4 linked regions of the Lytechinus pictus genome follow. The protein of the gene in region 1 purifies or fractionates together with the protein of each later gene. This does not show direct contact. Links are inferred from orthologs where the notes say so. Each region holds a gene or a part of one and is shown in the gene's direction. Other genes may lie near its edges.

Region 1 (7,902 bases):
GATGACGTCATCTAGGCGCCATTTTGTAAAATTAAATGATTGATCATATCATCGCAACTAATCATCAAAAATCATCCATATTTGCATCATATCAAGTTCAGGTGACAGGTCATCAGGACATATCATCAGAGGTCATGCAAAGGTCACGACGCGCACGTACGCGCGCGTCAAAATTTTAAATTTCCCCAAATCGACCGTGGTCAAGTTTGGGTACGTTTCTGGTCATTTTGAGCATGTCAAGAATTTGCGCGCGCACAGGTATGCGTGCGCGTTCTTGCACCTACCATCGTTATGCATCTTCGAGTCATCATTTCTTTCATGTCTTTCCATTGTTCATTATCTTCTGATTAATTTGATACCTCATTCAGCCTCTTACGACCAATAATACGGGAATGCGCGTCCATTCAAATTTGCATTACGCGCGCGTAAATGGGCTAAAATATGCCTATATAAAATTCACTGTAGCTCTTCAGGGAGTCCGTTGACCCCAAATTTTTTCTCACTCTTTTATATATTCAATATTTCATTTGGAGATTTTGTAATTACGTCAATTTTAAGTTATTAGTGAAAATTACATATTTCCGCAACAAACGTCAATGACTTGACCGTATCTTCGTTTTTACTGGTCAGTTTTCTTCCAAATTTTGATATCGTATAGTGAAGACAATTCTCTACAAATAACGTGTGAATAATTTTGACTTTTGACCACAGCATCAATGTGTTATGATGTGTTTAAATTTTTGCAAATTTTTTCTGGACGTAATTTTTGAGAAATTCTTTAGAGAAATGTTTTATTAACCAATTGTACAGTCTTCCTGAAAATTTCAAGCCCACTTGCCTTGCATTTTTTTATGTAGGACAATTTTTGTAATTTTGCCGGAACTTTTTAAGGGGCAATTTTAACATTGTAAAACATCATTTATGTATTTTTTAGTAAACGCTGCAATATTTAAACGCTATTTGGTTGAAAATTTTCATTCCGGACATTTTGCGGAAATTCCTGGATTTTTTTCTGTTTGTTCATTTTTACTTAATATAACATATAACAAATTTTCAGGTACCTTCTGTGAAATGAAAAAATTGTGCAATTTAGTTAATTACACATGTTCCCGAAATTTTGCGGGAAAATTGCCAGTATTTGAATCTTTTACCTGACTTTTTTTCAGTAAAAATCATCAAGAAAGAATTTTCAAGTAAATGTCAAAGTCATACACAATTAATAAATGGATATTGAAAATTTTTGACGGAAAATATTATTTGAAATGTTTAAAAATTTTCAGAAATTTGGCAAACATTTACAAAAAAATCTGGTTCTTTTATCAAATACATCACTCATGAGTTTTGAGGTGAATGCTGTGAAATTATAGCATTATGAAACTTCTCATTAAAATCTATTGAAATGTAGCAGAAAATTTGAACAAAAATATTTAAGATATTTTAGCTTTTAAAAAGTATCACCTATGAATTTTCAAGTATTCTGTGAAATTAATACCCACTGACATTGTGAAATGTCAGTGGGTGAAATTAATAAAAAAAATGCTCAAAGTACAAAGAATTTTTAACAAGAATTTGCATAAAAAACATCAAACTGTCGATTAAAAATTAGCTGCTGTGAAAATTAAGGCGCCTTTCATTGCGCAATTTTGGAAAGCCAATTTCGGTAAAATCGTCTGAGATTTTTGGAGAGTTTTTAAGCCGGCATTTTACGTGCTCCTAACTTTATTTCGTATTTAACATATTGCATTATCACCACCATCATTATAATCATCACGATTGTCATCACTACATTTATAATCACATTTAGCAATGGTCAAAATTTATTCCTTTGATGTCTATGATCAAGATTATCAATCATATCTGAATGATTCATTCCCGGGATTCATTTTATACAACATTAGCCGACAATGAATGAAAAATCATGACAGACCACCTAATTCGTCCGCATGACGAATTAAAATCTAGTGATTATTATTATTGTAGCGCACATAACACACATCGGAATTCAGAAACGTCTTATTTCATTGATACAACTCCTACTGTCCTTTACTCATGCAAAAATCCTACTGGTTGGCATCTCTTAAAGGCATATTTTCCAAAGGAAATGATGTTCTAGTTAAGACTTTTAAAGCAAATAAAGATTTATAATGCCTCTGTCCACCATAGGTGTTGATGGAGGCACCATGGTTTTGGGTTTACATCTGTTCATCCCATCTTTTTTCTTATGAAAATTCACGAATTATTTGATAAACTTCGTCCAACTATGCAGATACATTCAGGAGTGACAGTGACCTGCTCAGTTTCGAGGTATCAATGTCAAAGGTCAAAGAGTTGGCAAGGTCAGAGATCACAGATACATCTACATATCTTGTGATATAGACAGTTGTAGGGATCAACTTCAAATTGGCTTTCATTCGGCTATGATGATCTGATTATATTTTAGTATACCGAGGTCAGAGTCACAGGTCACAGGCCAAAGAGCAGTGGCCAAAGGACCATCAACTTCAAACTTTGCTCTTGTATGGATATTGATGCGATGATCAGCGTCCCGTTTCACAAAGACCTGTTACAATAACAAATGCACTATATCTCTAATGAATGTACAATCAACCAATCAGATTGAAAGATCATAGTAGTCTATAACTTTTATTGCAAATTTGTTATTATAACAAGTTTTATGAACGGGCTTCTGATTAGCATTGTGGATCACAAGGTCAAAGGTCAAAATATCTTGTTCTGGTGATAAGTAAAGAAATATTTAAGGGTACAATTTCAAACCTTGCTCCATGGATGGCTTATGTACCTGTATTGTTAGACTCTTTACCTGTGTTTCATTTTCTAGAAGAAGGGTTATAATTCAATGGAAACATTGTTTTAAAGGAGAATGAAACCCTTGGAGCAGGTTAGCTTATATGAAACAAGGTGCCTGTCTTACAAAGAGTTGTGATTGATCCGATCAATCGCAACTATGGAAAGCCAGCGAAGTCAACATATAAAATACATGTTTGTTAAAAAAAATTCTAGATACAAATGTATATCTATAAATTCATTGATTTCTTGACAATTTTGTGTGTGCTCCTTTGTTTACAAAGGATATCTTGCAAATTTCCTGTAGAACAAATGATGACACTGATGGATTTCCATAGAGTTACAATTGATTGGATCAAACATAACTCTTTGTAAGACGGGGCATAGATCAAAGAATAAGATCATCAAAAGTTTTGAGTAAGATTGGTCAAGCGATAAGAAAGTTATATAAGCATTTGAATGTAAAGATCACTAATGTTATTGAGATCCTCTAATTGGCAATGTGAAAAAGGTGATAGATCTGTGATGTCACACATGTAAAACTCTCCCCCTTGGACACTAAAAATATACCCCAAAACATCTCTTTTTTGCTCATTCTATTGATATGACAAACAATTCATCCATGATACATTGTTGTGAACCATTATTACATGCCCTCATAAAAAAGAACACCTTATCTTGCAAAGAATTGATAAAAGAGAAAATTTAAGTGAAATATGTATTAAAGTAATGGGGAAGTTGTACGTGTGTGACGTCACAGATCTTGGTCGCAATGCCCATGGGAAGATCTACATAGTGTTACTGATCTGAATATTCAGATGCCCATATTTTTAACTAATTATTCATTCAATCTTCCTCACACATTTATTGATCTATTTGAAGTCAACTGGTCAGTCTCAAGGGTTTCGTCCTCTTTTAAAGTAAAATCTTGATATAAACATGACAGAAATGTATCATTCTGAATTTGTAAATAAATCTTTCTACACTTTTTTTCTAAGACATTCGTGTATCTCTTCCTGAATTCTTGTGGATTATGGACATTTATCAATGAGATATTCCTGAGTAAAGACTCATCTATTTTATGTCACAATGACTACACGATCAGCTGGGTATTGGCAAGAGAGAGTGAAAAAGACATAATGCCTTATAGAGTGGGATAGAGATAAGTCCTGTCTTTATAATAGACTGTGACCTGGCGGAGAGCGGGTATAGGAAAGGGGGTGGAAGTTTCCAATGAGATCATAAAACCATGGGTGGTAGCCTCTGTGCGATGTCTTAACAGATGCTTGCTTAAATTCAACCCTGATAAGATTTTCATGATAACCGATGCACCCTCCTCTCCCCCAAAAAAAATAAAAGAGAGGAGAAGAAAAGGGAGAAAGGAAAGAGAATAAGGGAAGGGGGGGGGGAGGAAAAAGAGAAGGATAATGAAAGAAGGGGAGATGGGAAAGAATAGGAGGTGAAAGAGAAACGGAAGGGAAAGGGAGAGGGAAAAGAAAAGGAAGGGGAATGAAGGGAAGAGGGTAAAGAAAAGAGATGGAAAGGAATTAAAGGAGAGGGAAAATTTAAAAAAGAAGGGAGAGATGAGAGAAAAGATCGAAGGAAAGAGAGACCAAAAAATAGAGAAGGAGAAAGGGAGAGGAAAGAAAGGAAGGGTAAAAGAATGGGGGAGAGAGGAGGAAAAGAGCGGGAAGGAAGAGGAAAGCTAGGAGAAAGAAAAAATGAAGGGAGAGGGGAAAGAAAAAAAAGGTGATTAAGAGGAGAGGAAGAGAAAAGGAAGAAGTGAAAAAGAGAAGGAAAAATAGGGAAGGGAGAGGAAGAAGAGAGAGAAAAGGAAGTGAAGAGCGAGGGAGAGAAAAGGAGAAAAGAAAGGGATCGGGGTGGCATTTTGGACAGACTGCAAGTAGCGCTATAATGAATTTGCCATAAATAAATACTGCAGTCGGCAGATGCATTTCAAATATTCTGAAATTTCAGTCCTGTCATTTTACCAGCGCCAGGCAAAAATGGCAGAGGAAAACGGTTAGAAAAGCAATTAAAAAACATAATTCAAGAAAAAGTGCGGTCTTAAACCCGAACCCGCCAGCCAACCCCAACACCAATCCCAACACCAATCCCAACCCATTTTCTTTTTGATACCCGGCCCCAGGCATTAACTGACGTTCTTTCTCTTTTTTGTGCGTGTGTATTTTCTTTGTCTTCTGATTGTATTGATGATGGTTTTCAAAGTATTGATATTCAATATCATCATTGTATTCTTGGAAATGAATCGGAAATGAAATAAATTAATGAAAAAGAATTTGCGTGCAGTAATTCTTTTGTATTAGATCCTTGACAAAGACTACTTGCAAAGTGACGTGTCTGTGAAGCCTGAGGTTCTGTGAATTGAGCTAAATTTATCTCCAAAATGGCACCAAAGAATGATGATGTGGACGAATTATTTGAAGTGAGGAACTCATTTTACATTGGAAGCTTTCAACAGTGTATCAACGAAGCCCAAAAGTTAAAGGTAAAGTCATTAGATGCGATGTGCATCAAATTAATTGGAAAGATTGCAAGAATAATTTTGTTGTACGGTCCCATGCAATACATTTTATGTTGCATCTGGATGCTGCCAGATGATGGTTTGTTTTACAAACAAACAGTTCCAAAAAATTGCTTTCTGTGCATCATAAAATGAAATATACTCTAGCGGCTACGATGGCAAGCTATAGAATTTATCGCAAATAGCGTCTGTCGCGTGAAAGCCATTTCACGGGAATAAAAAGGAAAGGGGGCAAATGCAAAAACAGTTTCGGGCACCACTCTAGGCGACACCCCAATACTTACCCGTGCTAATAAACTGGGACTCCACTCACGCGCGTTTGGGCCTCCCTAGCTTAGAACTAAGCACTAATATCACCTTAAAACCTAAATCTACAAGGTATGTATAATCTATTTATAAATTTAATAATGTTTAATCGGTACTCACCGGTTCTTTTGTTGCATTTTCAGACCATTTCTCACAATTCTTCGTAAATATTTGCGGCAAATTTTGTCGCCATAGACAGCTTAGCGTCCATCTTTATTGATAAATGGAGCGCCCTTTACGATAGTTGTTAATGCCGCGGAGAAATCGTTAGGCATTTTGGCCTGTGTTCAAGGCGTTCTTTCTGTTTTATTTTTATATTGAAGATTGTGCATTTGTTGAATAGCGCCGTCTACGTCAGGTATGAGATCGAGTGTATAAATAAACTCTTCCAAAATAATTATGATTCCGACCTGGCGCTGTTTAACTTCAATCTCTTTCACCTAAATTAGCGATGAATGCTAGCATTATAAAATATATATTATTAACGTCTGACGAAAAGAATAACCAACCGATCAGCTGACGAGAACGCGAATCACGTGATCTTCATATCAGCTTCGATCGCGAGTCAGAAGAGAGGAGCAGTTGCCCAGAAAATCAGGAAAAAGCCGTGAAAATGTAAGTTCCCCTTCATTTCTTTCAATTTTTTTTATTGCTAACAATGTATTCAATTAGTGAGATCGAAATGTAATGATTAGACAGTACGATAGCTTGTAGTTTTGATAAAATACAAAAATAATCATCTTCACAAAGATTTCTGACACAAAATACTACTGATGTCGCCTATGAGGTCCATACATGTAATGTTGGACCTCATTGGTACTAGGAGTGTCGGGCACTCCTAGTACCAATGAGGTCCAACATTACATGTATGGACCTCATAGGCGACATCAGTAGTATTTTGTGTCAGAAATCTTTGTGAAGATGATTATTTTTGTATTTTATCAAAACTACAAGCTATCGTACTGTCTAATCATTACATTTCGATCTCACTAATTGAATACATTGTTAGCAATAAAAAAAATTGAAAGAAATGAAGGGGAACTTACATTTTCACGGCTTTTTCCTGATTTTCTGGGCAACTGCTCTTCTCTTCTGACTCGCGATCGAAGCTGATATGAAGATCACGTGATTCGCGTTCTCGTCAGCTGATCGGTTGGTTATTCTTTTCGTCAGACGTTAATAATATATATTTTATAATGCTAGCATTCATCGCTAATTTAGGTGAAAGAGATTGAAGTTAAACAGCGCCAGGTCGGAATCATAATTATTTTGGAAGAGTGTATTTATACACTCGATCTCATACCTGACGTAGACGGCGCTATTCAACAAATGCACAATCTTCAATATAAAAATAAAACAGAAAGAACGCCTTGAACACAGGCCAAAATGCCTAACGATTTCTCCGCGGCATTAACAACTATCGTAAAGGGCGCTCCATTTATCAATAAAGATGGACGCTAAGCTGTCTATGGCGACAAAATTTGCCGCAAATATTTACGAAGAATTGTGAGAAATGGTCTGAAAATGCAACAAAAGAACCGGTGAGTACCGATTAAACATTATTAAATTTATAAATAGATTATACATACCTTGTAGATTTAGTTTTTAAGGTGATATTAGTGCTTAGTTCTAAGCTAGGGAGGCCCAAACGCGCGTGAGTGGAGTCCCAGTTTATTAGCACGGGTAAGTATTGGGGTGTCGCCTAGAGTGGTTTCGGGAAGCCATTTTAAGTTAAAATAAATGTTAAAAATAAAATAGGCCTAGGCCTATATCATATCAGTAGAGGCGCACGGCCAATATGGGAAACTGTCTCCCAAGAGAGAGATTAGCTCCAATATCAGAGACTTTTGTAAATAATTTGGGTATCCAATTTCAGAGACAGTCTGAGTCTCCACTCCAGTTTGGGAGACCAATTTCCTTTGTTTACATTTGCTGCAAAATTACCTTGGCGGCAAATAAAAATGTGATAGGCAGATTCCTCATGTAAAATTACCCCTTTTCACCGTCTACTTTTGTTTTGATAAGGATTTTTGTTGTCATCCACACACAAAACAAATGGGCTTCTGACTAGCCAGGCGGCTTCTAGAGAGTAAAAATCATTTACTAACGTAAGGTTACTCTCATACGAAGCCAGGACTTCTACCTCATAGACCCACACAAAGGAAGCCAAAACCTGAAACTTTCACCCCCGAGATTTCTACTTTCCTTCTAAAAGATCTAGCTCTAAATCATGTACATGGGATAAA
Region 2 (7,555 bases), on another chromosome or scaffold:
TATGTTTAGAATGGCAGCTTTGGCAATATTTCTTTTTGGGTTGTAGTAGCTACATTGTAGCTCTTCAACATTTGAAGAAAAAAAATCCAGAGCTTCTCATGAAAATAGCGTTAACTTAAATCCAAATTCTGTGACAATGCCAGGTTCATCATCATCAGTTAGTTCTTATTTATTCATAAAAATCTAATTGAAATCATCACTATAATGAGAGGAAGAGAAAAAAAAACTGATCAAAATCATTTCAAACAATTATATGGATTATTCACCATTGATAGTAATGTTAAATGTAAATAACAATTATTTAGTGACTTCATTTTAACAAAAAATAAGTATTTATTCGTCATTGAAAGAAATAATAATGGGTTGCAATTCACAAGTTGGGTTTTTGTTTTTTCTAATGCAAAAAGGGTGGCGAATGAACAATTTTCAATTGTAGAACAATTGTAGCAACATCACAGCCCCATGGCCAAATTTGTTGCATACAGTCTCATTTTTCAACTCAATATCAATAATAATATGGTCATGAAAAACTTGGATTGTCTTGGCATTAACCCCTCAAAATCTGAGGAAAAAACACAATTTTTTTTATTTACCAATCTTGAATTCCACATCTGGATGAACTTTCTGCAACAGTTCCACAACATGATTGGTTTGTATCATGGCCAACTGAAAAAAAAGTAATAGATAAGAAATGAACCCCTTATCACTCATCAGTTTCTTCTCAGCTTTTTGATTTAGAATAATTTTGCAATGGGAACTTAGGATGCAATTTTGGAACCATGTGATTGAACTCAAATTATTTTTTAATAAAATTAAGTAAAAGTGATTTCAAGAAAAACAATACGTGACTATATAATATATAGTCACGTAATGTTTTTCTTGAAGGGTATGCGGCAATTGCGATGCAAAGAAAAATGGTTGGTTAATATAAAATAATTTTATGATATTCATAATTTCCACAATATTTTGGAATAGCACGTGCGAATTTTTCCAGAATGTATTTCCTCTAACAAGTTAGTTGTCATTTTTGAATTAAAGCACAGTGAAATAAAGATGTCCGGCAATGTCAATGATAATTGATATATAATAAAAAAAAATATATCATCACAAAACTACGCTGTGTCTAGATCCAGGTCCAGGCCAGGGCCAGGCTTACCAGGCCCAGGGGTGCCGGTGTACCGGCGGATCCTGCGCCTGGCAGATACTGTTCTAGGCACCAAATCCGCCGGCGGATATGGTTCTCCTCCGGCGGATTCAGTACCAAAAAAGGCCACTCCCTTCAGAAGATTCGGAAGATATCGTTCTTGCGCTATCGCGATATCCTTCATTCATCACGTTCACACGTCATGCATGCACGCGCACCGCGCGTGAATAACGTTGCGAAATGAAGTTCGAAGAAGAGGTGGGTTAGCCTTAGTCTAATTGAGAGCCAGCTACCTTTCGGATTCTAGTTACATTAGGCCTTGAAGAGGAAAGCCTCAACATTTTGCCTTTATTCTGATGATTAGGGACAGAGTCAGACTCAGACTGACGTTAATCAGAGATTAAGTTTGCACAAAGAAGAATCTAACTTTGAGCTATTTTTTGGCATTATATTCAGTAAATAAAATCATATTCTACACTTTTCCTTTGCTTTTCTTTCCTCCTTTCTTTTTGTTCTTGTTTGTAGAACTTTTTGGGACCATAGCCCAACCCTTCCATACGCAGTGCTGTGCGGTTGGGGTCCGGAATTTCTTGATATCAAAGCCATTTAAACCTCGCAGATTGCCGCTATTTTAATCAAATCGCGGGCATGTACAGGATATAGCTTTTACACAACACATTTATTCAACCCAGTTGCGTAATGAACCAAATATTTTGAGGGGCAAAACATAGTAATGTGGGAAAAATCTGTAAAAAGTCGCAAAGCGATCGAGCTGGAAAAAAAAGCCTTTTGAAATTAAATTCTAATTATATAATTGATTTTTCCATTAGATTCAGCAACTAACAAATTTCATTGTTTCCATTCATTTCATTATACCTTGTCTCCTTTAATTTATTTTATTTCTCTTGGGTGTGGAACCAAGACCCCCCCCCCCCCCCCCCGGCGCATGTGCAGTAATTGAACGTGATTGTGAACGGGAAGCGTTATAGAGCAATTTGAGGTTCAGTATAAATGAAGAGCCCCTACTGTGTGGGGTCTGGGGCAAAGCCCCGGTAGCTTATTTACATAAAATTTGGCTAGCTTATAGCACAATGTTATATGCAGTCCATCTTTCTTCCCGCTCTTTAATTTCAATCATCGGAAGCCCGGTCGTGTTATTTTTTTTTTCTTGTCCCTTTTCTTTGTTTTCCAAAAATTAGCTTTTGACTAATTGCATTTTACCTTCGTTTCGCGCTATTGTTTGCCATTTTGTCATCTTTTAATTTATTTCCCATCGTGCTATTGCATTACATATGCCTGTTTTGGAATGATTTGTTCTTTCTCAAATGTTCATTTTCCCGATTTCCTTCCTTTTCCATTAAAAAGGGTTTTTTTCTTCGTTTTCTTTTCACTTTTTCCTTTCCTTTTCCCCTCATTCCCCTTTCCCTTTCTTTCTCCCTCCTTTTTTTTCCTTTCCCGTTTTTCTTTTATTCCTGGTTAAATCCGACAGGGGGCAACTCCCCCCCCCCCCCCGCCTGTTACGTCATGAATATCCATTAGGTGGACTGATGATGTCACATCTCCACTTGTTCTTTTGTAATTTATTATATGAAATTAGGTTTATTCAAATTTTTTCCTCCAAGAACTAGAAAATTTGGATTGACAACTGATTTAGTGCATTAGATATTTATTGCTGCAACTTATTTCATTATAAGGGAGACATATTATTCACACAAGTATGAAATAAATGAAAAAAATATGGTTTTGTGTGATAACATAAGAAAACGGAAAATGGGGATGTGACATCATCAGCCCAACTAATGAATATTCATGATGACTGTTTTCACAAAATATTGCTTAACTTTAAACTTCAATAACTTTATTATTTGTTATCCGATCTTGATGAAATTTTCTGCATTTTGCTCAGTGAATTCTACTCTATGTATTAAGATATAAATATTTTCAGCCCGGACCATCCCTTTAATTCAGATTCCTTAACAAAAATATTGAAAAAAAAGGAATAAAAAAAAAACAAATTAAAAATAGGCCTACAATAAACTACATAAGATATTAATCATGTTTTGAAATTCTTTTTTTTTAAATGTTTTCACAAAAAATCAGCACTCTACAAGCAATAATATGAGTTAACAGCAATATATATTCATAAACTAATTTGCCTCATTTATTTTGAAATTATGAAGTTTTAACTCGTTGAAAATCTGTAGTTTTATAAAAACTATAGGCCTATATGGGGGTACAAATTTTCGCCAGTCTGGCAAACTTACACTAATCATGGTGTGAAAAAGCACAGTTAAAGATTTCGATGCATACTGCGGACTTAAAGTAGTATAAATTTTCACGTAGGGCCTACAAAACAAAATGATGAAAATTTCATCAAAATCTGATAATAATAAATAGCAAAGTTTTGGCGCATGTGCCAGGTCTATGTATACATGATATATCGAGTCATTGTTTCTCCTATTCCCTCACCCCCATCGAGCCCTTCGTCAAAAGCTTTATGGATCCGGCCCTGAATAAAAATTCACTAAAAGTCTAAAGGCGGACGAAAATCCCCTCCCCCCATTGGTAACGACATTGCCAGAGCCGCGCATGCGCGCGCTGCCGAGGTTGGACGTCTGTCCAAATAAATATTACACGTATCGTCAATAGAACCAAATCTGCAAACTTCAAGCCGCGTCAAACCCGGCGGATATGGTTCCGATTAAAAACGATATCGGCCATTAAGAACGATATCTGCCGGCGGATACGGTATCCGCCGGTGGAACCGAATCCGCCGCTACACCGGCCAGGAGTGGGCGTGTCACCTCATCGGCGCGGCATCGCTGAGCTGCGCTGTCAATTGTCAAGACAAGAGGAAGAAATTCGATAAACACAATACACAACCAAACACGTATGGGACCGAACAAAAATCCTTCGGTTCCCCAGAGGCATTTACCTCGCTCTTTCTCGAGCCTATGCGAATAACTTCCACTTGACTAGCCATACTTTCGAAAAGACGACGATGCTTATTATCACTATGAGAAACTCCCAATCTCCGTGAACCGAAGTCTTCTAGTAAAATTAAAACTACGTTTTCGGACCGTCTGCGTCACTGCTCTGTACTGCTAGCTGCTCGCGAAAGACTTTAACTACACGTGAAATGCAAATGACCTTCAACCCGGAAGTTGAGCCCATTATATGTGTACAATTTTAGAGCAAAAATATAGTGCTGTGTATTGGTTGAAATTATATTTTGTACAATTGAAACACATGAAAACCTTCATTCAAATAAATTTTACAAGATTTAGGGATAATTCAATCAGTGAAAGTGATTACTGTTCTCTTGAATGAGAAAGAAAAGTCCACAATTAAAAAATATTCTTCCGCCACGGGCGTTATCCGTCTCAAACTCCACATCACACGGACGTGGCCCGTCTTAATCTTACGACTGTGTAGCGAAAATCCTGAGAAAATCCCACAGAAGACAGTGAAATTGCCGTTTTATTCGAAGAGCATACTGAATAAGAAGATGGTATGATATTGTTAGCTATAATTTCATTAGTAGTAAATAAATGGTGTTTATCGTTTATTGAAATGTCTCTTACAAGCTAAATAATCAAGCCTTGATAACTTTTTTAAATTAAAAATCTTGCTGACAAAAAAAGTGACAGACACAGTGTGAGTGCAGTGCAGTGAATAAGTGATCAGTGGTGTTGTTGGGGGAAATAATAAGATGGCAAATATAGCGATCTTCAACGCTTATATATAAGCGTCGAAATTTGTAGCCATCTCCTTGTATTAGTCTATAATATACGACGTGTCAAATTGTAGCGAACTAGTTCGCCATTTCCAGATCTCCTCTATATATATATATACGAGGGGGAATTGTAGCGAACTAGTTCGCTATTTTCCAGATCTCCTCTATATACAAACGACGGGAAATTGTAGCGAACTAGTTCGCTATTTTTCGGATCTCCTCGATATATACACAAGGGGAATTGTAGCGAACTAGTTCGCTATTTTCCAGATCTCCTCTATATATACACCAGGGATTTGTAGCGAACTAGTTCGCTATTTTTCGGATCTCCTCGATATGTACACGAGGGGGAATTGTAGCGAACTAGTTCGCTATTTTTTTATTTTTCCAGATCTCCTCTATATACATACGACGGGATTTGTAGCGAACTATATACGAGGGGGCATTGTAGCGAACTAGTTCGCTATTTTTTTTGATCTCCTCTATATATACACCAGGGGGGGAATTGTAGCAAACTAGTTCGCTATTTTTCGGATCTCCTCTACATGTATACGACAGGAAATTGTTGCAAACTAGTTCGCCATTTCTCATCTCCTCTCTAAAATATAAACATGGCAAACTGTAGCGAACTAGTTGGCAATTTTTCTGATCTCTTCATATACACGAGGGGGAAATTGTAGCGAACTAGTTGTCATTTTTTTCCAAAGCTTACATTATTGTGAAGGCTTCAAAGTGAAAATCTGCAGGTTTTGGCTGTATATATTGATGCCATATTGTCAAATTGTAGCAGACTAGTTCGCTATTTTCCAGATCTCCTCTATATATATATACGAGGGGGAATTGTAGCGAACCAGTTCGCTATTTTCCAGATCTCCTCTATATCCATACGACGGGATTTGTAGCTAACTAGTTCGCTACTTTTCGGATCTCCTCTATAAAATTATATACACGAGGGGGAATTGTAGCGAACTAGTTCGCTACAATTCCGTCTCTTGTATATATAAAGATTAGAAAAATAGCGAACTAGTTCACTAATTCCTCCTCGTGTATAAAATTTTATAGAGGAGATCCGAAAAATAGCGAACTAGTTCGCTACAATTCCCCCTCGTGTATATATCGAGGAGATCCGAAAAATAGCGAACTAGTTCGCTACAATTTTCTGTCGTATATAGAGGAGATCCGAAAAATAGCGAACTAGTTCGCTACAAAAGAAGAGATCCGAAAAATAGCGAACTAGTTCGCTACAATTTCCCGTCGTATATATATATAGAGGAGATCTGGAAAATAGCGAACTAGTTCGCTACAATTTCCCGTCGTATATATATATATAGAGGAAATCCGAAAAATAGCGAACTAGTTCGCTACAAATCCCGTAGTATGTATCTAGAGGAGATCTGGAAAATAGCGAACTAGTTCGCTACAATTCCCCCTCGTGTATATATATCGAGGAGATCCGAAAAATAGCGAACTAGTTCGCTACAATTTCCCGTCGTTTGTATATAGAGGAGATCTAGAAAATAGCGAACTAGTTCGCTACAATTTCCCGTCGTTTGTATATAGAGGAGATCTGGAAAATAGCGAACTAGTTTGCTACAATTCCCCCTCGTGTATATATCGAGGAGATCCGAAAAATAGCGAACTAGTTCGCTACAATTTTCTGTCGTATATAGAGGAGATCCGAAAAATAGCGAACTAGTTCGCTACAAAAGAAGAGATCCGAAAAATAGCGAACTAGTTCGCTACAATTTCCCGTCGTATATATATATAGAGGAGATCTGGAAAATAGCGAACTAGTTCGCTACAATTTCCCGTCGTATATATATATATAGAGGAAATCCGAAAAATAGCGAACTAGTTCGCTACAAATCCCGTAGTATGTATCTAGAGGAGATCTGGAAAATAGCGAACTAGTTCGCTACAATTCCCCCTCGTGTATATATATCGAGGAGATCCGAAAAATAGCGAACTAGTTCGCTACAATTTCCCGTCGTTTGTATATAGAGGAGATCTAGAAAATAGCGAACTAGTTCGCTACAATTCCCCCTCGTATATATATATATAGAGGAGATCTGGAAAATAGCGAACTAGTTCGCTACAATTCCCCCTCGTATATATATATATAGAGGAGATCTGGAAATAGCGAACTAGTTCGCTACAATTTGACACGTCGTATATTATAGACTAATACAAGGAGATGGCTACAAATTTCGACGCTTATATATAAGCGTTGAAGATCGCTATATTTGCCATCTATAAAATACCGTGTTGTTGGGGCACCTATTGTTTTGCCTTGACGGTGTTTACGTGTTAATGTGTTAGGAGCCTTAGTTATAGGAGGTAAGTTTTTACATGAGCACAACAGATTAACACCAAATGATGCCCACCAAACATGTTGAAGTTGATAAGTCCCGAAATGTCACTCGGTTATGTCGGTGTTGAGGCCACTTGAGTTGTCAATATTTTTTCTAACGTTGTCGTTGTTTTAACTCGGTCATGATCGACTCATGTCATTGTCCGTCAAAATAGGTTTTGGACATGTTGGTAGTACTAGTAGGATAGGATTCAGATATGATCTAGTTTGTGCTTCCAAGTTCCAGGCTAAACACCAGATCACTTGAACAGCAGAGCCAGAGGCGCTGTGCTGGTCAGAAAGACAGAAAATTAGGATCGTCCCA
Region 3 (7,903 bases), on another chromosome or scaffold:
TTGCTGTTTATGCTGTTAGATATATATATTTTTTAAATATAGGATTCTTGATACAAGTGGAGCGCCTCTTGCAGTCTCGCCTGCATGCCTCGATTCAATATAGCAGCAGTGCTGACTTTGAAAACGACTACAAAATAATCATTCACAAAAAACACCACTCATATAATAGTATAATACTACATTAATTGACCCTAAATGACATTTGACCTTGATCAAGTGACCTAAGATTTGTGCAAGATGAGCAATGATACTTAATTACCCCTATGTCCACATTTCATTAACTATATCCATAAACTTTTAAGGTTATGGCAATTCAACAATTACCCCCTACATGGCCAAAGTTCATTGACTTTAAATTACCTTTGACCTTGATCATGTGACCTGAAACTCGCACGGAATGTTTAGTGATATTTTATTAATCTTATGTTCAGGTTTTATGGACTAGCTCCATATATACTTTCTAAGTTATGATGACAGGCAGGATGTTTAGCAATATTTGATCACCCTTAATATGTCCAAGTTTAACGAATAGGTGTTTTTTTTTATTTTTTTTTAAATAAGATGACATAGGGAGACAGTGAGTATTTGAAGATAGTGAATATTCATAAACAATGTAATTTGTAATACAATCACTTTAGTTTTACTTTATTAGTCTTTTTTTCAATAGTCTAATAAAGTCCCATCCGAATCCCTTAAACTCTATGTTGGTATCATCCATTGTAAGCACTTTGAAAGAGTACGATTCTGGAACAATCTTTGATATCGATAACGATCAATTCATTTTTACGTTGTATTTTTTGTTAAAGGCAATTTTTAGTTTCATCCCTGGGCGATGGGATCTGAAACTTTACTACCAAATAGTATTTAATTGTGTTTTAATATTGAAATCAAAGTCTTTAGGCATATTTCATGAAATTAGTCATATTATGCAGATTATTTGCAGATAGTGAATTGATGACATGCTCACAATGTTTCCGACGTCTTTGTTAAAAAAAAATAATTATTTATCATAACTGCTTGCATGAGCATTATTCTTTCAGATCGGAGATAAGAATGTTACTTATATAAGCATTATAGACCTATCTGGCTGTGAACCATGATTATCTATGAAGAAACAAAGAAGTTTTTTCTTTTTCTTATGTAATCCCCCCCCCCCTCTCCCTACTTTTCTTTCTTTCTTTTTATCTCTCTCCCCCTCTATCTCAGTATGTCTCTCCATCCCTCAATCTTTCTCTTTCTCTCTTGTCTTTCTCTTTCTCTGAACTCTCAACACATCATGGCGTCGCATCACCTGTTGCCACTCCGCTTCCTGCTGTTGCCATTGCCATGGTAACGATGACTTGCTCCATTCCTCGTTTCCAAGCCCTTGTATGTCGCAGTTTAAAAAAAAAGGAGCAGATCTATCGCTTCGTTCTAACCAAAAGCGACAGAAAATACCGGCCTGTTTTGAGATGATCGCTCAATGACCCACGAATACAATAGCCGCACCCCGTCCATTGTGTTCTTCCCGATAAAACCGGGTATTTAAAAATGTCTCCTCCACACCTGACTAGCCACCGATCAAAGAAATGAGCAGCGCTGTCTTTCAAAGATGCTGAAGGGATGTACAATAGTATTCTCCTCGGATATAGAGACGAGGAGGAGGGGTGGTGGAAAGGGCTAGTTATCTTCGGGGGCTATTATAATGGAGAAGTTAATTAAAGAACGCTGGTGTGTATAGAGCATGAGTTCTCTTAACACACAGCTGAAGACGACAGACTTTGATGTGCGTTGTGGTTGAAGACATGACATGAGAAAAGACATTAAATCAGCAAGATTAATGGAAGGGTTATCTAAACTTCTATGCCAATGACAAAACTATCCACCACCAGCATTAGAATCAGTTTCAGTAATAATCAAAATTGGACAAAACACCGTGATTATCATAGATGATGAGTCCGGTAGACAAATATCAGGAGCTGAGAAATTATAGTCTGTATCCCACTCCTGACACCAAAAATGTAGTCAACGATCAAGTTTAATTCAGCTGAAGAAATTACTGTGTGGTTTTCATTGCCTTCAGTTATTTTTAAAGGAATGTGAAAGGGACATGCCTATAATGCCATAATACCGGAAACACGTTGATATTGATCTAAAGGGGTCCGTGCACGTTCAGTATAACCAACAAAAATGAACAAAAAAAATCATGAAATTAATATAAATAAAGAAAAGTTGCTTAAATCATGGGGGGGGGGGGGGGTAAACATGAAAAGCAAACGAGGGGGAAAAAACTATAAGACCTAGTGGCAGATCCAGGAATCCGAAATACCCGTGTCCCATCCCTGTGGGGAAGTGTGCATATTTGAAAAACGACTCCGAAAATGAGCATAAAAATGGAGCCCTTTCTTTGGTTTTTAAAGGAGTATGACGGGAGTGAAACACACGCATGTATATATTTTATTTAGCTTGCCCAAAAAAGAAAATTATATACGGGAACATGCTCCTTATAAAGTTGATAACTTTCCCACGGTTATTTTTTTTTTTTTTGGGGGGGGGGCTTGTCGCAGAATTAAAAAAAAGACGGTTCCACGTATACCATTGATCAGTCCATCATCTGTCGCTGATGAGACCAGCATAATTATAACATAGCTCAAAACCTACGCATGAGTGCCCACACATTATTTTTTTAATATGTGACAAGCTACCCCAAAACCAACAAAAGGTCGCCAGAGAAGGTTCTCTGTATTAGCCAGAATAGTAATTTGGTCTTTATAAAAACAAAAATTGAAAGAAAAAAACACAGCTTATCTCAAAGAGTAATTCTTCTTCTGTATAATGCCAAAATGTCAAGTTGTATAGAGTTGAATATAAAACAAGGTACAAGAGTTTCTGTGGCACAAGTTTTTTGGGGAATGCTTGGAAATTTCACTCAGATTGCAGTGGGCCCTGAACTTCTAAGTTATTTTTGAAGCTCTCGCCTTGTTTCTTCTCCATACGATCAAGTATAATAGTGTGGGTTGTTGTTGACCAATTTTGACAAGTTAGTTATAAAGCTTATTGCTTATTTTCATCTCATAAAAAATAAAAACTAATTTTGGGCGACTTTGGTTTAATAAACACGATAAATACATTTCAATTTTTCTTCGTTATAAAACAATTTGGTTTGATTTTGTTGTCTATAAACATGTGGAATTGCGTTTTGTAACCCATATGACGTAATATGATATTTTATCAATATTTTCCTTATGTCATATCAATAAAATAAAAACAATTACAAAAGTAAATAAACGGTGTGTGATGTTCTTTCAATAATAATTGATGCATATCTGACCGTGTTGTCTTCTTTAATGTAACTGCTTTGAGAAAATAAGGTAAACTTGAAAATGGTATATCTACAGCCGCTTTTTAAGAAATTTTAGTCAACTTGTTGTGTTCAAGGTGGTGGTTGACTTGAACTTCAGCATAATATGACAACGATATGATTTGTTTTATAATTTCCTAGGTTCACTGTTTTATATAACATTCTATTTCAAAATTCATAATGCCCCTTGTACATCCATTTGTATTTACCGAATGACACTTAGAGGGTGCATACTTTTCTGTATCTTCTCCTCCCGCGGATTTTATATAATTTACAGCTTTTCCCGGTTTTCATAAATAAATAAATCGCACAATTCACTTGTCATTCTCACTCTGATTCCATTTTAAAAAATGAAGGAAAAAATGAAATGAAATTTTTCTTTATATAACTTTTTAAAAATCGCTGAAAGTATATACATTTGGAGGTTTTTCATAAAAAAAAATTTAGATGAATTTTTTAAATTATTAAATAAAATAAATCATCATTTTGGTACCGAGAAATTCAGTGACAAGCAACAACAAAAAGTTCACTATAAAATGAAGGTAATTTGGGGTTGCTAGGTCCTTTACTTTTTTTTTTACCTGGCAGCCCCAGCCCCCCCCCCCCCCCCTTCCGTTGGTCCGCCACTGGGAATCGTCGAACCGCATTTCAGGACAGGGACTCACTCGACCGTAAACTGCTATTGTTGTATTTTGGTATTTATATGTTTCACTATAGGTAATTAACAACAAAATATATTTAAAATTCGATACCATTATTAATCATAACGTCTCATCCTAGATCTATTTTAGCTCAATACTGCTGATTCTCCATAAAACAATATTGTCTACGCGATCAAATTCACATTTTCTCTTCATTTTGAATCAAGAAAATAAAGAAAGGATTTGATAATTTTGGCGGGATGTTGCAATCCATGATCCCCATCGATCGAAATTAACATTCTCATGCGGCAGTCACATAATCAAGACTAATACCAAACCAACCGATACCCGTACATTGAATAACGTAATAGGCTCGTAGCTCTGATCGTTCTGGAGTCGGTTTCGTTGTTGTGACTGTGCGGGATTATCTTCGAGATGACCTCAAACAGGCTAAAACAAAAGGTGAGAGAGTTTAGAAACCATCGGAGAGGGCATCGAGTAAACGACCAGATAATTGGTAGATGGGTCTGTTAGGATGCGATAGCAATCACCTCTCCTCCACATGTTATAACCCAAAACAAAGGAAGTTGAGAAAGAGGAGGATCACCGAGGTAAAAGAGCAACCGGAAGTCACGCACCTACCTCTATTGTTTATGGATATCACAAACTTCCTGCATCATTTCTATGCATCACAGAATGATTGTACGTACGAGTTCAGAATGCGAGATTTTATAGAAGGAAATTAATCTCTCCTGTATTGACTCAATATCATTCAAAGAGAGTTCTTCCATGGATCCTACTAGAAGTTCCATGCTGTACTATTCTGACCCCCCCCCCCCTTATGGCCATGCATGATGTAACACATTACGACATACTGTAACAAGTAAAGTCATCATTACAACAAACGTTTTCTGCATAAGATCGCATACATCCCATGGGATGTGTTAAAAAATTGTCTCTCTGAAATTTTGTCAAGACCAAGTCTGGGGATCGGGCTTTCCAGAAAGCTGCACCATAGCAGCACAGTGGAATTCTCTCCCGCCAATTTTACGAAATATTACCCAACTTGAGCAAAAAACCCACCTCCTTCGCTTCAGAGATAAAGTAAGTTATATGTTCAAAGTATGTTTGATATTCTTTGATGTTTATAATTACTGGCGGTTCCAGGAAGGGGGGCACAGCCGGCCCATGCCCCCCCCCCTTGAGAGACACAATTTAAAATTTGTAATGTAAAAATGCCGTTAAAACAGAAGTGTGGCCCCCTTTTGAAAGCGAAGACCTTTTTTTTTTGCTTGTCAATTTTTTCGTGGACGAAATCCCCTTATTTTTTTAGTTAAAACCCCCCTTTTAGGGGGGGGGGCTTGTCAAAATTTTCCTCCCTTTTCGAAAACTCCTGGATCCGATTGTTATATTCAGCTTTTCCTGAGAGACCCTTAGGTGCTATACGCGTCCATCCCAGAAGAACTGTTATTATCATAAGATGTGGAATTATTTTTGAGAAAAAAAAATCCTAAACGTGAAAACTTGTAAACGTTTGCCATAATTTCCATTGTAGAATAAAAGGTTTAATCATTCAATTTCTTGCAGTTAAATCGGTACAATCGATCGGTATGTATATAGCTGTAACCAAAGCTACGCCTACGACCGTTTACCAGTTTGATTATACCCCTGAGAATGAGCATGTTTTATAATAATCTCAACTATTTTACGATATTTGGATACTATACATTTTTTATTGGTCGATGAAACTATTAAACGACGTGAAATGTTTAGCTCTTACATCTCTTCCCTATGATAACATCCGTTGTATTGACCTCATCATGTTTTGTCATCTCCGTTTCTATACCACGTTCTTTATCCACTTTTACGTAAATATGCACGGTACTTATGCATGATCATTGCTCGAATTATGATGAACATTTTTTAACAACATGTAAACAGGCATGTAAACTCCCTCAGAAATAATATGTCCATTTATACAGCGCAGTTACTATGTGCATATACTCAACTGCGCTTTGATACATGGTATCATACCCCGGCTGTAGCTGAGCCGCCATATTAATAAAGCATTCAATGAAAAATCTTACCGGATACTCATTCACCTCACCTGGGTCGAGTGCAGCACAATGTGGATAAAGTTCTTGACAAAGGAAATTACGCCATGGCTGGTATTCGAACCCACGACCCTCTGTTTCGAAGTCCGGAGACTAATCCACTGCATGGGCCTAAATGCTCCACAATATAAATACACAATATTGATCATGCCTCAGAGGTATAGTGGCGCTACAAGGGGGCAAAGTAATTAATAAAACACTCATGTCTACTAATTATTCTGAGGAAAGGATTGACTGCCCTCGATCTTTCAAATAAAAAAAAAATCTGTGAAGTGGGGGGGGGGGGGGGTGAGAAAACATGGAAACGTGTGTCTTGGTCATTATTTTGAGAAAACAAATCAAACTTACATACAACTCCCGTGGCATGCTTACAGAATGATGAAAAATGAATTGTTTTAATCATAACTTGGACAAAAACTTAATTTTATTTTTGTTATCCTCCATGGGAAGTTTTTTTTTTTTTTTTTTCGTAGTGAAAATTCTGCAAATTATCAATGGCAAAGAAAACCAAAATACGGTACCACAAGAATAGCTTCAATATTTCTATTTATTCGACCTTATCCACCCTTGGCCTATTAAATCCTTATGTGGGCTAAAAATGGCTGGCCGAAATGGATCGTAATGCTCTAATAATCAACTGTTATAGACCGGTCTGGGACGGCCTCGTGTTGTTAATTAATACAATAATGGTGATGACCGTCTCCAAAATCATCATCACCACCACCACCACCACCACCTCCACCACCTCCACCACCTCCACCACCACCACCACCACCATCATCATCATCATCACCATAAAAATCATAATTGTATTACTACGATGGCAATTATACAGTAATGTTTGTCCTTGCACGCGGTCATTGAATTGAATTGTTTTTCATAATTGCTTGGCGGATGCAAATAACAAGACCGGTGGATTTTTAACCGAGTGGTTTGGGATCTCAAAAAGGAGGAAGGTTTTTTGATAGAGCTGAGAAGATACTGGTCCTTGAAAATGTGTCCTCCCTACACCACACCGTTATTAATATATTTGCCTACTTTTAGCCTATCACGGACGAGTCCCTGTGCAGAGCGAAGAGAGAGGGCGCCTGTATAGTATTTCATATACAGGGACACTAATTTCATTACGACCGTATCATCACGATTGCTGGACCTACACCCCGTTTTATTTATTTATTTTTTTAATTTTTACAATTTTGATCTGCTAAGTTTCGAACTTTATTTTACATCCGAATCAATAATTTCCCCCATTTATTTTGAATCATTTTTAATCGCTGGTACCACAATCTTTAGTTTGCAATTTACTTCTAACTCGGAACACACTACGGAACAAGTTCCGGGAACAAGTTCCGGGAACAAGTTCAATCACAGTTTCCTCTTCGCTTTTAATTCGCTTTTATGAATGAAATAAAATAGAGAAAACTCCGAATGAAAAAGAAAAACAAAGTTTCTTATGCTTATTGTTAAAATTCATATTCTGTATAGCTATTTTCCTAATACAATAGGCCTACTTTTCTACATTACATTTTTGGAAAACTTTCATTTATCTGAGCATGCAGACGATAACAATAATCTGCATTAATTTTATTGTTTCAGGCTGGAAAATTCCCAAATCTGCTGCCGAATCGTATGTATTTATAAAGTTTACAAACTGCATGTCTTATTAACTTTATTTTGTGGGACTTCTCCTTCATCATGTGTGTTAAAAACATATGAGTGGCCGTTTCAAGAAAATCAACATTTTGACGTACGTAGGCCTATACCAATTATAATTGTAATACAGTGACAGATACCAAGTGGAAGTTGAA
Region 4 (7,968 bases), on another chromosome or scaffold:
CCCGCACATAATTTTAGTATGGTCTACCACTCTGATGAGAAGTTGAACTAAATAGAAACCCAAAAATGCTTAAAATTCTGTGCTTTCTGGTCGCATTTATTTTTTTCAAAAGGTGGTTAAAACATATTCATGGATGTTTTTTTTTCATGAACACATTAAAAAGTGGTCTTCGATGCCTTTTTCACGTGATTATGAAATACGATAATTCAAACTGCATTTAAGGCACCTATGATTGCCGTGCTGGGCGGGTCGGGGTGCCATTTTCCGAAAAGTTCACAGGGGCGCCAAAATAGTCGGGCTCAATCATGGATCCTGGATCCTGGACCTCCTTATCTATACCGGCGTGATACTAGGCGCTAGTCCATGGATCGGATCGGTTTACTTCCATTTCGTCGTGATGCCAACTCGTCCAAATGCCAACTCGTCCAAATGCCAACTCGTCTACTATCATTATTTGGTCTACCATCAGTTCGTTCACTATCCACATGCATGCATTCCGTCTAATAACCATCTGATCCAATAGTCATTTAGTCCATATACAATTTGGTTATTGGACGTGTTATTGTGCAAAATGAATGAAAATGAATTGGATACTGGACTAACTGGACCAAATGGTTGTTCGATGAAATGTTGATGGACGGATTGGCATTGCATGGACTAAATGAAAGTAGACCATGTGCATGGTGAATGGATGAGTTGGCAGTTGACGAATTGGCAATTTACCAATGGACCTACTAGTACTAGGCCACTGAATTGAACTTGTCGTGTGCCATAACACCTAAACTGCTTCCTTATATCCGATACCCCCTCCATCCTAAAGGGAAGGAGGAGAGAGAAGAAAGGAAGAAAGAAATAGATTGTTGAAAGGGAATCAAAAGAACGATCAAAAGGGAATTTGAACGCAACATAATATTATACTGTTATTGTTTGAATCGTTTCTCTCTCATTAAATTTATATTTTGAATATATATCGTTTCAGTCATTCTCATTATTTTACTGCATAGCGAATTACAAAACGTCCTATCCTCGTTTCCGCTAACCACACATGACATTATTTATCATTTTATTATTATCATACAATGAAATTCATACTGTTTTTACACGCTGCGTCGGCTGCCACTTGACTACCTTGTAAATATTTTTCTGATGATATTCAGTTGAAATCAGTGGCGTTCAAAATAAGGCTTGGGGCTGTATGGATTCCCAAATTTGTCACGGCCAAGAAAAAAAAGGAAAGAGAGAAGGGAAACTATTATCTGAATATCATGTCAAAATCTATCATAGATTACAAAAAAAAATCAAGATTTGTGCCCTATATGTATATCTGGCCCCTTCATATTTGTTATGTTCATTATTTACGCCACTGGTTAAAATTAAATTCAACTTAAAACATTTTCCCTTTATCATTGCATTATACATTCATGAATAGTGAAAGCATGTTCATAACATCTTTCTGTATTTTTCGCTGTTTATACACTTCCTAACCTTAGGTTGTGTGTATTCCTTATGTTCGCATTCTCAATGTTATTTTCTCTTTATTTCAATATTATTCTCACAAACTTTATTATGGTATGCCTATTCAAGAAAGTATTACTTGTTTGCTTGCCCCATGACAGCTTTGCCTTCACTTTTGCAGATCGGAGTGTCTCTCAGTCAGTATTCAGAGCTATTACTGTATTCTCCTTGACCCCCCCCCCCCTGTGAGTTGTAAAACACCCGGGTAAATCACCCATAAAGGCAAAATATTATATTTTTATCGGCAACATATTTGCATCACATCACCATAAATTAAATACATCAGAATAGGCGTATACCCATTGAACCTCGCCAGAATGGGCTTGCCCAAAAATTTCAAAAACAGATTTTTTTTTCCCCGAAAGTCATCACCGCTTGGAAGTAGGCGACTTTCCCGCCCCAAAATATTCTTATTCCTACAATAGTGCAATCCGTCACGAACACCATGCACGATTGGCCTTTCATAACTGATCTCCAAAATAGTTGAACCATATTCCAACACTTTCTACGATCAATACGATCGCCTTGACTGATCTGATACTTTCTGATACGATTAATTACTCCGCGATTATATGCCTCTTGGAAGCGGGGGAGGGGGGAGGGGGGGGCTGGGGATGCGGCATGTATTATTTTCCATGGGCAGCACCCCCTGGAATTCTGATAGGTGTCAAATTTGAGAAATGTATGGAATGACCAACGATGTTTTTCTTTTGCTTTGTCAATTTTTTTTCTGCAGGTAACCCCACCAAAAAAAAAATCGTGACAGTGTGAACTGAGCACATTTTTTTTCAATCATCAAAAATGATTATTATATTATTTTCCCCATGAGTTGTGAAATTTTGACACGCCGGGGTCTCCTTGGTCCCAATCCCAATATGAAGAATACATTTCCTCGGCTATAAAACAACAGTTATCATTCGTTTTTCCTATATTTATTAGCAGGAAAATGGGAGTCCCAATTCCCGGTTCCACTTTCATTGCTAAATAAGTCTACGTTATGCCAATCAAGAAGTGAGTGATGTCTTTGTCCTGCTCACGTCGCCACGCACCATTCACATTTTTTCAACAGTTGAACTGCTCGTGCACACACTGTATGCGTGTATCCCGGAGGCCTATCTTCCTCTCATTTGTTGCAATAAAGTTCATCTTTCCATCTATTTTTAATTGTTTATTGTTTATTTGATAAGGGGTAGCCCATTCAACAACAGCTCCCATGGGGCGCCCCTATCTATTATTCGTCATTGGTATCCATTTGTCTTTGTCCATCCATTCTTCCTGTTCTTGGGGTTAGGCCTATACATTCATCGGATGATCCATTCATATATATGCCTATTCATCCATCTATTCATTATTTCAGTCATCCATCCATCCATCCACTGATGGATTGATTAGGCCTATAGGCTACCCCCACCCTCCCCATACTGGAGAAATACTCTGCGACCCATTCTCTGGAAATCCTTATTGATACACGTTTCAAAGCAGACGTAAATTACTATCCCCTCGGACGTTGCTTCTCCAAGTTTGCTTAGTCTTCTTTCACGTACTTCGTTGCCCTGTTTCAAACGGCATGACTTGTAAAGTTCTGTTGTAAAACATGCCGGTCGGCCCCCGGGGTCGGCTCCGAAATTCACCCCTCTGCATACCTAGAGCGCAACGGTTCTACCATAGACCATAGCGCCGCGCAATATTGAATATACTCAACTTCTCATTACTCCACATCTAGCTACAAGCTTTCTTGTGTGGCTGCAAGAATAAGAGTTTTCTGAGAAATCTTGCCCCTTACGTCTACCCCCCCCCCTAATTTTTTTGCTTTCGCTCATGACGCCTCTGCTCTGCTTGTAAAGATTGACCAAATAACACTGTATTCTAAATTTGCAATTTGATGCATTATGGTCGCATACACACACTATCACGGTCTACACGATGTAGACTACGCTACATACTTCGCATCAACAGGTTTCTCAGCTCACCTTTTGACCTCGCAAGTTCAGTCTAAACAACGAAGAATAATCCTACTTTCATGTCAATACTGTGTGTCCTCCATGGTCCCATCAACTTTTATCTTCCTTTTATGTTTTACTATTTTGTATCCCGCCCTGAAAATAATCGTTTTTCTCTTCGCCCTTCCCTTTCTTCATACTCGGCCCTAGACAGAATGGGGATGGCCGTCTATATATATATACATATGAAAATTTTTCATCTCGCTCTTTGCGCTCGCTTCAATATTGTTTAGTTAAAATTAGATGACAAAATTCTAGGTCAGAATATCAATCACTTGGGCTTAAAAAGTGATTGATATTCTGAACTAAAATTCTGACATTCTAAGCACTTTTGGTAATCATGAACAGGATTGTCATCATAGATATCTCTGATTGTCATCTACTACCTAACAATATTGATGCGAGCGCAAAGAGCGAGGTGGCCGTCAAATCAAACTCGGCCCTTGCCCTTCTTTGGGATTCTCGTATCTCTTTTAGTCTTGGAGTACTTTCAGATTCATGACATTAGATTCCGAAAGTAAGCCGTATTGGGCAATCCTTTGCTTCGTCATTTACGTTCGATAATCAAAGTGTCTGAATCCTTATTCACGTACGATACAATCATGGAGCTATAGCTCCATATAATATGCTTGTCCAGTGTGTGCTATCGCTAATAGTGGATTATGTCTAAAGTAAACGTGCATGCAGAGCGCAAGCATATCGCTGGCTAGTCCACCTCCTGGACTGTTGGTATTTTGTACGATACGACTACCAAACACAACACACTACATCCCCATAACACGCATACACACACCCCCTGAATAGTCACACGAAACAACATTTTTTTTCGGGGAAAGTGAATCAGTGGGTTAGGTGAATCACTGGGGGTAAGTGAATCAGTGGAGGGCGTGTGTGTGTTGGTTATGTGTGCGCGTGGGGGTACCGGTACGGTCCGATAAGGTTTGCCCTTGGTTTGCCCAATCAATAAAAATCGTCCAGGACGTGGACTAATCGCTAGCCGGCTAGCATCGGCTCATTGAGCTTGCACGCAACATTCGGTGTTTGCTTCTACTCAGCTACTTCTGCACACAGCGCTGCACTTTGTTGATACGGGGATTTCTTGATACGGCGCATGCGCCATGACGTATTTCATCAATATGCATGAGGTTGTAATGAATATGCATGATTCGAACGGTGTTCTAATATCAATTTATTTGTTAACTCGAGAGGGCGGAAACAAAATATATCGGTTAAACGATATATTATAATATATATTTCACCCCTAAATATCATGAAAACAGAAGAGTTATACCAATTTCTTTTGAGTGATAAAGTAGAGCATTGATATAGATATTTAATGAAAATAATATCTTTACAATTGATTCACTGACCTTGTCTGAGATCAACCAATCATACACTATACCTTTAAAACATAATTTATATTAATAATAATGGATGACACAAACTAAAATATGATAATTGCAGTAAGTCAAATATACCAGTTTGTAAACCTCATGTTTGGAAAGCAAATGTCCAATGAGGATGATGATAAAGGAGGAGGGGGATGAGGATGATGATGAAGATGATGATGATATTGATGATGATGAGGAGGATGATGATGATGATGATGAGGAGGAGGATGATGATGATGATGATGATGAAGATGATGGTGATGATATTGATGATGAGGAGGATAATGATGAGGAGGATGATGATGAAGATGATAGTGATGATGATGAGGAGGATGATGATGATAAATATGGTGATGATGATGAAAATGATTATCACACCTTACCGACATGAGTGTAAAAAAAAGCCCACTATTCAATTATTTGACATTTCTAGATGAATACATGTATCACTTTGCTGTATTTGATTCACTCTTGCCAATTACCACTATAATTTCTTCTTGCTACAGACCCTTGTCAAGTCATTTGAGGTCTGTGATCTACCAGTCAGAGCTGCCAGGTTTGTCGCTCGCAAGAACTGGGTCATCACTGGATCAGTAAGTCCTTATTTTTATTTTTATTGATGCTCATCTAAATTATTTTCAACGATAATCACCCTGCGCAAGTATTTAAGTATTTATTAGAAGAGGAACAGTTATCATAATCATTTTTAGGAAAAATGAATAGAATTATTTTAAAGGCAACTTGTATTTGAATAAGATAATCTCCACTTATCCTCATCAATTCTTAGTTGGTTATCCAAACATTGTGAATTGTTAATTTGAAAAGATAACAATTAATGAACATAAAGTTGTATAATATCTTGTTGGCTAAGAGAAAATATGTATTGGTGACAAAATTGTCAGCTCCTGAATTTTAGAAGAATTTGTGTGTGATTTTGGGGGTATTTCATTCATTTGGCCTCTTGAGTTTGTATGGAACATTACATTCCATCTTTGTTTGCTTTGCCCAGGATGACATGCAAGTGAAAGTATTCAACTATAACACCCTTGAGAGAGTTCATATGTTTGAGGCTCACTCAGATTACATCAGGAGTATAGGCATACACCCGATCCAGCCGTACATTCTAACCAGTAGCGGTAAGTCAGTCATTACTATTCTTCAATTTTAATAATAGCAATAACAATAATGATAATAATAGTGGCTACTTATAAATATAGCCACTTACATGTACGTAGCCACTATCAGATTTTGAGCAGATGTCCTAAATTTGCACACTCTAATCAAAGATTCATTGATTATTTGGAGATACCCCAAACTAGGGAAGCTGTGTACATTATTGCATATTATTGTGCTCAGCCAATCAACACCAAGGAAGGTTGCCATATCCAAGAATCTGTCAGACAACCAATGACATTATGTTGCTAAAACAACCTGGTGGTTCAAAAGAAATGAATACTTTCCAAAGATATGCAGATATTCAACACTTATTGTCATGCTCAAGTAAAATGAATTAAGATTTTGGCAGGAAAATCATATTCTGGCTGTTGTTATACAAAATATATATTATAAATGAATAATTACAAAATTATGGCATTAAAAATTGTATGGTACAAAATCACACAACCACAATACATAATGGTACTAAACCCAAACAAATCTGAAGTTCATTGCAAAAACAGTGGCACTGAATCTAAACCAATTAATTAATTATTTAATGCTGTGAGAGGACCGCCCCAAGCAAGAGCTATTCCAACACCCATTGGGCCCTGGGGCTGTTTAATAAAGCTGTTCGTAAGTTAAGAACGACTGGTGATCCTTTCTTACGCGCTATACCATCGCCATTGAATATACTATGTACCATTAGAAAGGATCACCAGTCATTCCTAAAGTCGCTCTTAACTTACGAGCAGCTTTATGAACACCCACCAGGTTTGACACCGAGTACTTCTAATAGTTCCACTTTGAATGCAGTCCTGCCCAATTTTCTTTCTCTAAATGTTATAAAATTGTTCTTCCATTTGCAGATGACATGCTTATCAAGCTGTGGGACTGGGATCGTAAGTGGCAGTGTACTCAAGTTTTTGAGGGACACACCCACTATGTGATGCAGATAGTCTTCAATCCCAAGGATAACAACACATTCGCCAGCGCCTCACTGGACAGAACAGTCAAGGTAAGAGCCATACTCAGCAATTCATATTTTCTTGTCTTTTTGTCTCGCCTGAACAAAGTTCGGCAGAGACCTAGTAGCCACTTTTCCTGTCAGTCTGTCGGTAGATATAAAAAAGCTAGACAGAACGAGGAGAGTAGCCCAACGTATAATTGGATGCAATAATTTAGATTCGATGACCATTCTATATGAGGAAAGGGTAGTGGCTAAAGTAAAAAGAATCATGAATGACCCCACCCATCCACTCCGTGTTAACTATAACTACAATAGGTCGGGTTTCCGCCTTTGCGTACCGAGATCTGCTCGAGCAAGGACGAGACAATCTTTCACCCCAAACCTCTTCAACGCTACTGCACAAAGATACTGATCAATTTGATAATTAGCCACTGAATGAATGTATGCCCGGATTCTTGATTCTTTATACTTTAATCTCTATTCGAAAGTTATAATTACTGTTACAAGACATTGACCATGTAAACCCTATGTTTAAATTAAGTTTATTATTCCTGCTGACTTGTTGATTTATTCATATTTGTCATCTCATTTGTAAACTTCATTTCCTTGTAAGCATTTGTAATGCTCCAGTGAAAGGTAAATTTCCCGTCAGGGGATAATAAAGTTATCAATTCAATTCATTAGTCTGCTACAAAAATATTTTTGTTTGATTTGCCCTCATTTCTTTATTTCGGCATCAATTGTGTTCAGACTTGGTACATATGATCCTTCGATAATACCAGATGTGTATCCATGAGGATGATGCGAGTCAAAGGGCATCTAGGGGTCAAAAGATGTGAGGTCATATCCATCCTTTTTCAAGTTTCTGTTTGACTTGCTCTCATTTCTTTATTTCTGCACCAATTTTTATCACACTTGGTTCAAAGAATCCTTGGGT

What was found.
Region 2: the proteins of coatomer subunit epsilon-like (region 1) and coatomer subunit delta-like purify together in Homo sapiens (affinity purification with mass spectrometry; 4 studies listed by BioGRID and IntAct, with this or other methods). This does not show direct contact. The link is inferred for Lytechinus pictus from reciprocal best matches to the Homo sapiens genes COPE and ARCN1.
Region 3: the proteins of coatomer subunit epsilon-like (region 1) and phosphatidylinositol-3-phosphatase SAC1-B-like purify together in Homo sapiens (affinity purification with mass spectrometry; 4 studies listed by BioGRID and IntAct, with this or other methods). This does not show direct contact. The link is inferred for Lytechinus pictus from reciprocal best matches to the Homo sapiens genes COPE and SACM1L.
Region 4: the proteins of coatomer subunit epsilon-like (region 1) and coatomer subunit beta'-like purify together in Homo sapiens (affinity purification with mass spectrometry; 4 studies listed by BioGRID and IntAct, with this or other methods). This does not show direct contact. The link is inferred for Lytechinus pictus from reciprocal best matches to the Homo sapiens genes COPE and COPB2.

What each region holds. Positions count from the first base shown.
Region 1 is NC_087249.1:9,540,503-9,548,404, forward strand, and holds the start of coatomer subunit epsilon-like, read left to right. Parts: upstream 1-4,902; 5' UTR 4,903-5,212; coding exon 5,213-5,314; intron 5,315-7,902. UniProt on the Homo sapiens protein: The coatomer is a cytosolic protein complex that binds to dilysine motifs and reversibly associates with Golgi non-clathrin-coated vesicles, which further mediate biosynthetic protein transport from the ER, via the Golgi up to the trans Golgi network.
Region 2 is NC_087252.1:32,345,662-32,353,216, forward strand, and holds the start of coatomer subunit delta-like, read left to right. Parts: upstream 1-4,542; 5' UTR 4,543-4,652; coding exon 4,653-4,655; intron 4,656-7,555. Other genes in the region: porphobilinogen deaminase-like, read right to left, coding at 594-666, 4,080-4,127. UniProt on the Homo sapiens protein: Component of the coatomer, a cytosolic protein complex that binds to dilysine motifs and reversibly associates with Golgi non-clathrin-coated vesicles, which further mediate biosynthetic protein transport from the ER, via the Golgi up to the trans Golgi network.
Region 3 is NC_087246.1:55,294,454-55,302,356, forward strand, and holds the start of phosphatidylinositol-3-phosphatase SAC1-B-like, read left to right. Parts: upstream 1-4,894; 5' UTR 4,895-5,085; intron 5,086-7,903.
Region 4 is NC_087258.1:18,199,512-18,207,479, reverse strand, and holds the start of coatomer subunit beta'-like, read left to right. Parts: upstream 1-4,966; coding exon 4,967-4,978; intron 4,979-5,412; coding exon 5,413-5,499; intron 5,500-5,915; coding exon 5,916-6,042; intron 6,043-6,930; coding exon 6,931-7,079; intron 7,080-7,968. UniProt on the Homo sapiens protein: The coatomer is a cytosolic protein complex that binds to dilysine motifs and reversibly associates with Golgi non-clathrin-coated vesicles, which further mediate biosynthetic protein transport from the ER, via the Golgi up to the trans Golgi network.